Linked DNA regions of Macaca mulatta. The protein of the gene in region 1 binds, or shares a complex with, the protein of each later gene. Links are inferred from orthologs where the notes say so. Each region holds a gene or a part of one and is shown on either strand. Other genes may lie near its edges.

The links.
Region 2: POLR3B (region 1) and POLR3GL share a complex: the UniProt entries of both Homo sapiens proteins name them as parts of the RNA polymerase III (Pol III) complex. The link is inferred for Macaca mulatta from reciprocal best matches to the Homo sapiens genes POLR3B and POLR3GL.

Annotation. Positions count from the first base shown.
Region 1 is NC_133416.1:113,670,815-113,674,800, forward strand, and holds part of POLR3B (DNA-directed RNA polymerase III subunit RPC2), read left to right. Parts: intron 1-609; coding exon 610-819; intron 820-3,230; coding exon 3,231-3,389; intron 3,390-3,986. UniProt on the Homo sapiens protein: Catalytic core component of RNA polymerase III (Pol III), a DNA-dependent RNA polymerase which synthesizes small non-coding RNAs using the four ribonucleoside triphosphates as substrates.
Region 2 is NC_133406.1:119,326,767-119,331,545, forward strand, and holds the start of POLR3GL (DNA-directed RNA polymerase III subunit RPC7-like), read right to left. Parts: upstream 2,909-4,779; 5' UTR 2,865-2,908; coding exon 2,739-2,864; intron 2,422-2,738; coding exon 2,292-2,421; intron 1-2,291. UniProt on the Homo sapiens protein: DNA-dependent RNA polymerase catalyzes the transcription of DNA into RNA using the four ribonucleoside triphosphates as substrates. Specific peripheric component of RNA polymerase III which synthesizes small RNAs, such as 5S rRNA and tRNAs.

The sequences.
Region 1 (3,986 bases):
CAGTGTTTGGCACAGAGTAGATGTTTATTAACTGCTTAATAAGTGAATCATCAAATAAATGAATAATCCCCTCTTCCTTGCTCTCACTTTAATTCCTCTTTGTTCATTCTTTTTCTTCCCTTCTCTCCTGTATTCTTTTTCATTTAGAACTTTTGTAATTGTTTATTTCTTTTTATGGAATATACCTGTTTATCCATTTTATAAGCTCCTTGGATGTGAACACTGGGCGTTATCTTACATTACCTCTCCCCAGCAGGCCTGGAACATGGTAGAACCGAATAAAGAATTGTTGATTGTGAAGTTAACCAGTGGAAACTAAATCCCTTAAATGGGATAATATAAATCCAAAAAGTCTAAATTATTTAGATTAAGATATACTCTGAGTATATTTTTCCTTCTTCGTAGGACTTTAAAACTTTAAATATTAGTGAGAAAAGTTGCTTTTACAAGTTGTTAAGCCACCATGAGAGTATTGCTTTTGAAATTTTGAACCTGAAGAGTTTCTTCATTTTAATTAGTGATGTTAATGTATTTATCTCTATTTTCATTACTACCTTATTATTTCACATAATAGAATGTTGTATTTTGTTTTCTTCAATATCAATGCAGGTACTATAGGATACAACCAGCGAAACAGAATTGATACTCTCATGTATCTACTAGCATATCCACAAAAACCCATGGTTAAGACAAAAACCATTGAATTGATAGAATTTGAGAAACTGCCAGCTGGACAGAATGCAACAGTTGCTGTGATGAGCTATAGTGGCTATGATATTGAAGATGCCCTTGTTTTAAACAAGGCCTCTTTAGACAGAGGTAAGTGAATTTTCAAAACTAATGCCAAAGGTGCTTTTTGCAGAGTTAGATATAGGGATGATTAATGTAGAGATCACTTGGTTAATGTCATTTCAAGTTATTTGAATTTTATGATATAGAAACAGGAGATGGTTGGGTTTTGATGTTGGCTTTCTTGTCATTTTTAATGAATAGTATATGGAGATAATTTGTTAAACATACTACTACAGAATATTTTTCTTCTCTGTTATTGTATTGGTTACGTGAGACAGTCCTTCAAAGAGAAAAAAAACGTAAGAATGTGTTTTACAGCAGGAATTACAATATATGAAATATGTGTTTTCACTGTATCTAGTGATATATATTATTAACAAACCTGTTTGAGAGGGCAGTAGCAATATCTGGATGTAAAAAGCTGTTTCTTATTTGCGTAACCTCATAATTTGGTACCTTCTTTGGCCAAGTGACGAAAGTTAAAAATATACGGCCGCAAACTCTGGCGTGGAGTTTTTCTGCTTTTCTTTCTGTTTTTGACAATTACTTTCGCAAGTCACCACTTCGTGATTTGTTAGACATCACCTGATCTGAAGTCTGACTTCTCTATTCATAATCTCGATTTCTCTTTTTCCTTTCTGGCATACCCACTATGCCTTCCCCTTCCCTCTTTGTAGTTGCTAGGCAGCCATAATAGTACTCCTAGACATGTGTCTTTGGCATTAATGTTGGCCACACTTAATTTATGCCTCTTTTTTTCCTCCAAATGACAACAGCCATGCTTTAAAACTAGATGTTTTCCTTTCTGATTAACTGGTAACATTTATGTGGAAATCTGAAGACTTTGTGATGTCTGTCAGAAACTCTGCAACCCAATTTAATGATCTGAGTTTACTGTCCGCTAGCTCTTAAGCTATCACCTGTGAATAAAATGTCTCTTTACACTTTGAAGAAAACAGTTCTTGATTTCATGCAGTTAAGATTCACATTGCACTCCAGCATGTTGCAGTTAATGGCTACTGTATGAAATTTCAAGATCATGAAATGTTTCCAAACCAGCTGGCATTCTGAGCCCAGTTTATTATGGCCATACACAATTTCCTAGGAGCCATGATGACTACGGCCTTGCTTAAAGACACAAATGTCTTCATCTGACGTCCAGTTGTAGAAATTTGTTACTTCATCTCACAGTCACCTTCATATTTAAAAAATTACATTACAGCCCTGAGATTTTATTTATAAATCCACTTTTACCTGATTGATTTCTAAAGTCACATTCTTAGATTTCTGCTTTTGGTGGAAAATTGTTAAGTGAAGGATTTTACAGCCATGCATTTATTTCATCAGTAATAACTGGCATTGCATCCTGAGACATTTTCTTATTTAAGTGAACTCTGGCATGGCTCAATATATCCTGAGGAGATTAGTAAGAGAATCTAGTTTAAAATAACTGCTTGGCCAAAGGGAAAAAAGAAAGAAATGTAGCCACAGAATCTTAGGAAATTATAGTGTTGAAGGAATGACAGCTGTTTTGGGTAACTCTACAACTCATGGATTTTTTTCTTTTAGGGATTCAGTGGTTGAGTTTTTTTGCCCCACCCAAAGGTTTTTCTTCTGTCCTTTTTGCTTATTTTTCTTCCTTTTATTTTTCGGATCCATTGGTAGACAGCTTCTTTTTCTTAATGTTCAGATTGTTAGTTGACTTCACAGCTTTTCCCTCATCCACTAGATAAATGCAATCTAAAAATGTCATTAAACTCCAATCTTTAGGGCAGAGAACTATTTTTCCCATTGAAATAATTTGATTGTTCTTTTTTCATTCTGTCTCTTCTCTGGAGGAAAATTAGTGTTTTTACGTGCTGGCTTAGAACTTGCTCTAAATGCCAAATTTTAAAAAGAAAAACTTTCCAGGGAAGGTTAGCAGAAGTTGTGCACCAAAAGGATGTGTGTCCTGGCTCGGGAGTCAGTGGCCTTGTGCTGTTTAACACAATTCTCAACTCTGCTGCCAGCTTGCTAGATGACCTTGGCCACTTAATTTCTCTGGACCTCACTCCTAGTGCCTGTGAAAGGGATAGGTTAAGCAGGTGATTTCTAAGGCCCTTTCCAATTCTAATATTCTATGGCTCTGTCCTCTGAAAGAATCACAGTGCTAGTCTTTGATTTCTCTCACCCTTCTCCAGTTGTATTCCGTGCAGAAAATGGTTGTAGAGATTCCAGTGTTTACACAGACAGTAGGTAGGGGACAAGTCCTGTGCCACTTCTTCAGATTATCAGATTTTTATTTGGTTTGTACTGGTCCCAGATTATGATCAAATACAGAGAAGCTTTGGGATTTGGGGGAGAGTGAGGTGGAGTGGATTGCTGAGTAGCACAAATCCATGTTTTCTTATAGCTTTGGATTACTGGTGGTTCTAATGCCCATTTTGGTTTCATTTTAGGCTTTGGGCGTTGCCTTGTATATAAAAATGCTAAATGTACATTGAAACGATATACCAATCAGACTTTTGATAAAGTAATGGGGCCCATGTTGGATGCTGCTACAAGGAAACCTATCTGGCGACATGAAATCTTAGATGCAGATGGTATTTGTTCTCCAGGTAAAAGCCTTTTGAAAGAAATATTTTTAATATATACCTTTGAAATCATGTGTTATTCCATAATATTTCTGAATATTTGACAAAAAGGGCAGAAAAACGTAACAACCTATAAAACCACTATCCAGACTCAACCAGTGAGGTCATTTTTGATGAATTTCCTTCTAGTTTGTTTTTCTATACACTATGTTTTTACCTATCAGTAATCTATGCTAACTGTAATTTTCTAGTTATGATTTTGAATAATAGAAAAGCCACTTTAAGGAAATATTTAGAGTAGTTCGTGTCCCTGCATCTGCACTGGTATTCTTCATTTACGCATTTAGCTTACAGACTACTTTAGAATTTTATCCCCCTGCAAAGGTATGACTCCATTATAATTACAAACTTGTAATGCATTTTGTTGATGAAACAAATAGTCCTTGCCCTTATGGGTCTCACAGGCTGGTGCAGGAGACTGACATTGATCAGAGGATCATGCACAAACGCAGGTTAAGAAATCATATAGGTAGCTATGAGGCCATTTTATAGCAAGAGGATTTGACCTAGTTAGGAAGATCAGCATGGCCTTCCCCAAGGAAGTGAGCTGGAATCTGAAGG
Region 2 (4,779 bases), on another chromosome or scaffold:
AACAGGACTGTTCCTGAGAGTCCAGCCCTCTCAATACTCAGGAATTATCTGTTTCCTTACCCCAAACTCAGAGCCCAGGGGGTCAGCTTCAGTGAGGACCTTATCTCTTTTTTTTTTTCTTTTTTTTTTTTTTTGAGACAGAGTCCTGCTCTGTCGCTCAGGCTGGAGTGCAGTGGTGCAATCTCAGCTTACTGCAACCTCCACCTCCCAGGTTCAAGTGATTCTCCTGCTTCAGCCTCCTGAGTAGCTGGGACTACAGGCGCACATCACCACGCCCAGCTAATTTTTGTATTTTTAGTAGAGACAGGGTTTCACCATGTTGGCCAGGATGGTCTCAATCTCCTGACCTCGTGATCCACCCAACTCGCCCTCCCAAAGTGCTGGGATTACAGGCGTGAGCCACGGCGCCCGGCCCCTTATCACTCTTCTAACCTGTTTCTTTTCCACCTAAAATTATGATTTTTTTTTTTTTTTTTTCAGATGGAGTCTCACACTGTCGCCCAGGGTTGGAGTGCGGTGGCGCAATCTCGGTCCACTTCAACCTCCACTTCCCAGATTCAAGCAATTCTCCTTGCCTCAGCTTCCCAAGTAGCTGGGATTACAGGCACCTGCCACCAGGCCTGGCTAATTTTTTGTATTTTTTTTTTTTGTACAGACAGGATTTCACTATGTTGGCCAAGATGGTCTCGAACTCCTGACCTCGTGAGCTGCCCACCTCAGCCTCCCAAAGTGCTGGGATTATAGGTGTGAGCCACCACACCTGGCCAGTGTTTTTTTGTTTTGTTTTGTTTTTGTTTTTGTTTTTTTTTGAGGCAGAGCCTTGTTGTGTCATCCAGGCTAGAGTACAGTGGCGAGATCTCAGCTCACTGCAACCTCCACCTCCCAGGTTCAAGCAATTCTCGTGCCTCAGCCTCCTGAGTAGCTGAGACCACAGGCTCACACCACTGTGCCTGGCTAATTTTTATATTTTTAGTAGAGACAGGGTTTCTCCATACTGGTTAGGCTGGCCTCAAACTCCTGGCCTCAAGTGATCCACCCATGTCAGCCTTCCAAAGTGCTGGCCATTACAGGCGTGAGCCACCGCACCCGGCCATGATGACTTTTTTTTTTTTTTTCTGTCCCTTAGTTCAAAGGCATGGCTGTATTAAGAAATAGTGTGATGCAGTGGAAAGTATGCTAGGGAATAAGAAACCAGGATTTCGGCCGGGCGCGGTGGCTCAAGCCTGTAATCCCAGCACTTTGGGAGGCCGAGGCTGGTGGATCACGAGGTCAGGAGATCGAGACTATCCTGGCTAACACGGTGAAACCCCGTCTCTACTAAAAATACAAAAAAATTAGCCGGGCGTGGTAGCGGGCGCCTGTAGTCCCAGCTACTTGGGAGGCTGAGTCGGGAGAATGGCGTGAACCCAGGGGGCGGAGCTTGCAGTGAGCCGAGATCGCGCCACTGCACTCCAGCCTGGGAGACACAGCGAGACTCCGTCTCAAAAAAAAAAAAAAAAAAGAAAAAAAAGAAACCAGGATTTCAGTATTCTGTTTTTTTGTTTGTTTGTTTGTTTTTTGTTTTTTGAGACGGAGTCTCGCTCTGTCGCCCAGGCTGGAGTGCAGTGGCGCGATCTCGGCTCACTGCAAGCTCCGCCTCCTGGGTTTACGCCATTCTCCTGCCTCAGCCTCCTGAGTAGCTGGGACTACAGGCGCCCGCCACCGCGCCCGGCTAATTTTTTGTATTTTTAGTAGAGACGGGGTTTCACCGTGGTCTCGATCTCCTGACCTTGTGATCCGCCCGCCTCGGCCTCCCAAAGTGCTGGGATTACAGGCGTGAGCCACCGCGCCCGGCCGATTTCAGTATTCTGTTGTTGGTTGGTGCTTTTAATATCCAGATTGTTAAAATTTTTGCTGGGCACGGTGGCTCATGCCTGTAATCCCAGCACTTTGGGAGGCCAAGGCGGAAGAATCTCTTGAGCCCAGAAGTTCAAGACCAGCCTGGGCAACATAAGAACACCCCATCTCTATTTTACAAAAAAATAAAAAATATATAAATTTTTAGAAAATACATCCCCCCACCTACACACAAGAAATGGGATTTTAATATTTAACCTCCCGCTGTCCCAAAACTATCATGAGACTCAAAACAAACCATGAATACTATAATGCATTTCAGATGCAGGAGTAACTATTATGATCTCCCCAGTTAGACAGTATGCTTCCTGTGCCTCTCCAGCCCCCAGTGGTGCTGAGCACAGGGCACTCCCCACGGAAGGCACTCAGAATATGATGCTAGCATTCCAACTGACCTCTCTTGGGGACAGCTGGCCGGATGAAGTAGGGGAGCTGCCTCATGGCTCCTCGTAGCTCCTGCTTCAGTGCCAGGACATATTCCCCTTCCTCTCCTGAAGGCAAAGGTACTGGGCGGAACTCCAAAGGCTAAAGAGGCAGGGGCAGTGGTCTGTTCAGGGAGAAAATGCTAGTACAAATTTAGGAAGACCCCTCCTCCCAATTTAATCTAATATTCCCCTGAGCAGAGGGCTGAAAGAGAATGGGGAGAGTAACATATCATTTTGAAAGCTGGGGAGAAATAAAGGTGGACACTTCTTTGACTGCAAAACATCCCTTGTGCATTGGGAGTATAGAGACAGAGAGGGCCAGTGAGGATGGTTTTATGATGGTCCAGGAGGAATTCAGAATCATGTACAGTCAGCCAGGGGCACATGAGAGTCTGGGAAGGAAGTGGAGAGACTCACAGGGAAGAGTGGAGAAGGCTGCAGGGTGGGTGGGGGCAAAGTATCCCCTTTCCCAATGCCCACGGCCTCCATGTTGAAGGTCAACTGGCCCCGGCCACGACCCCGGCCCCCACCCCGGCTGGCCATGGTGGAGGGGGCCTGGGTGTTCAGAGATCCAGTGAAAAAACCTGATAAAGACAAAAACAAAGAGAAAAAGAAATGTAGTAGAATGGACAGGAAGCCAAGGAGGTACAAGACATTCAATCTTTTATCGCTGGGACATAAAAAGTCAATGTCATTCAACAAATTTTGACTGAGAAGGCACAGTGTCAGAGAGAGAATTTCTGGAAACATAAACATGAATGAGACATGGTCCCCCAAACAGGTCAGATAATTACAATATAGTTTAGCACAAAGGAGAAAGTGCTTAGACCCTCGGACAAAACTCTACATCCCTAAGACAATTTGATGTTTATTCCTATCTGCATTTATTTATTTTTATTTTTAGAGATACTCTGTCACCCAGGCTTGAGTGCAATGGTGCAATCACAGCTCACTCTAGCCTCGAACCCCTGGGCTCAAGTGATCCTCCTGCCTCAGCCTCCCAAAGTGCTGGGATTACAGGCATGAGCCACTATGCCCAGTCACTAACTGCATTTATATGTATAACCTTTGAATTCTTTCTATCTCTGGCCTTCCAAACCTGACCAGGCCCCAATTCAATCCAAAGAAATGCATTCAGCGAAACATTTATTAATCATCTACCATGAAAAAGATAGTGTCAGACACTGTGGGAGCACAGGGATGAGTCATCAATTTCATTGTCAACCAGGGGAAAAGAGACATTACAATCAAATTTTATTTTATTTTATTTTATATTTTATTTTAGACAAGGTCTCTTTATGTCACCCAGGCTGGAGTGCAGTGGTGTGATCATGGCTCACTGTAGCCTCAACCTCCTGGGCTCAGGTGATCCTCCTGCCTTAGCCTCCCAAGTAGCTGGAGCTACAGGTGTGTGCCACCATACCTGGCTCTTTGTTTTGTTTTTTTGTTTGTTTATTTGTTTGTTTTTAAGAGATGGAATTTCATTATGTCAAGTGATCCAAATGTCTCGGCCTCCCAAATTGCTGGGATTACAGGCATGAGCCACCACGAGAGGCCAGATTGATCTTTTTAAACACCACTTGGAAGCACAGAATCTTAGAATTCGGAGGACCCTTAGAGGTCATCTAGTCTAAATCCCTCCCAGTGCAGGACTTCACTCTGTAAATTGTTTTGTTGTTGTTTGGTGTATGTGTGTCTTTTTTTTTTTTTTTTTTTTTTTGAGACAGAGTCTCACTCTGTTGCCCCGGCTGGAATGCAGTGGTGCAATCTTGGCTCGCTGTAACCTACACCTTCAAGGTTCAAGTGATCCTCCTGCCTCAGCCTCCTGAGTAGCTGGAACTACAGGCATGTGCCACCAAGCCTGGCTAATTTTTGTATTTTTTGTAGAAACGGGGTTTCGCCATGTCACCCAGGCTGGTCTCGAACTCCTGGACACAAGTGATCCACCTGCTTGGGCTTCCCAAAGTGCTGGGATTACAGGTGTGAGTCACCACCCCTGACCCTACTTTGTGAATTGTTATTCAGCTTTTGGTGACATTTCCTAAAGAGATGGTATCCATTCTCCCCCAAGACAGTATATTCCACTGTGATGAACACTGATGAATCCAAAGTTTCTCCTTCTACTGAATTTTCACTCTGTCTCTTATTGTCAATCCTGAGGAACCAGTCAGAGGCAGCTAGGATGGGGGAATAAAATCACCAGATGAAAAGAAAACTTAAGAGAAATGATATCCCAGCAGCAATGAGCACACTTAGCACCCAGATCTTGGTTTCTAATACAATTTTCCAATAAAAGGAACCAGGGCTCCCTGGACTACTAGCTGATTCTAGGACAGGGTAGGAAACACACAGGATGAGTCTAGAGCATCTTGAGGTGTCAAAAAGTAAGGAAGTGCTCAAAACAACAACCACACTCACATATTGATGGGGTTAGCTGGGTGCAGTGGCTCATTCCTAT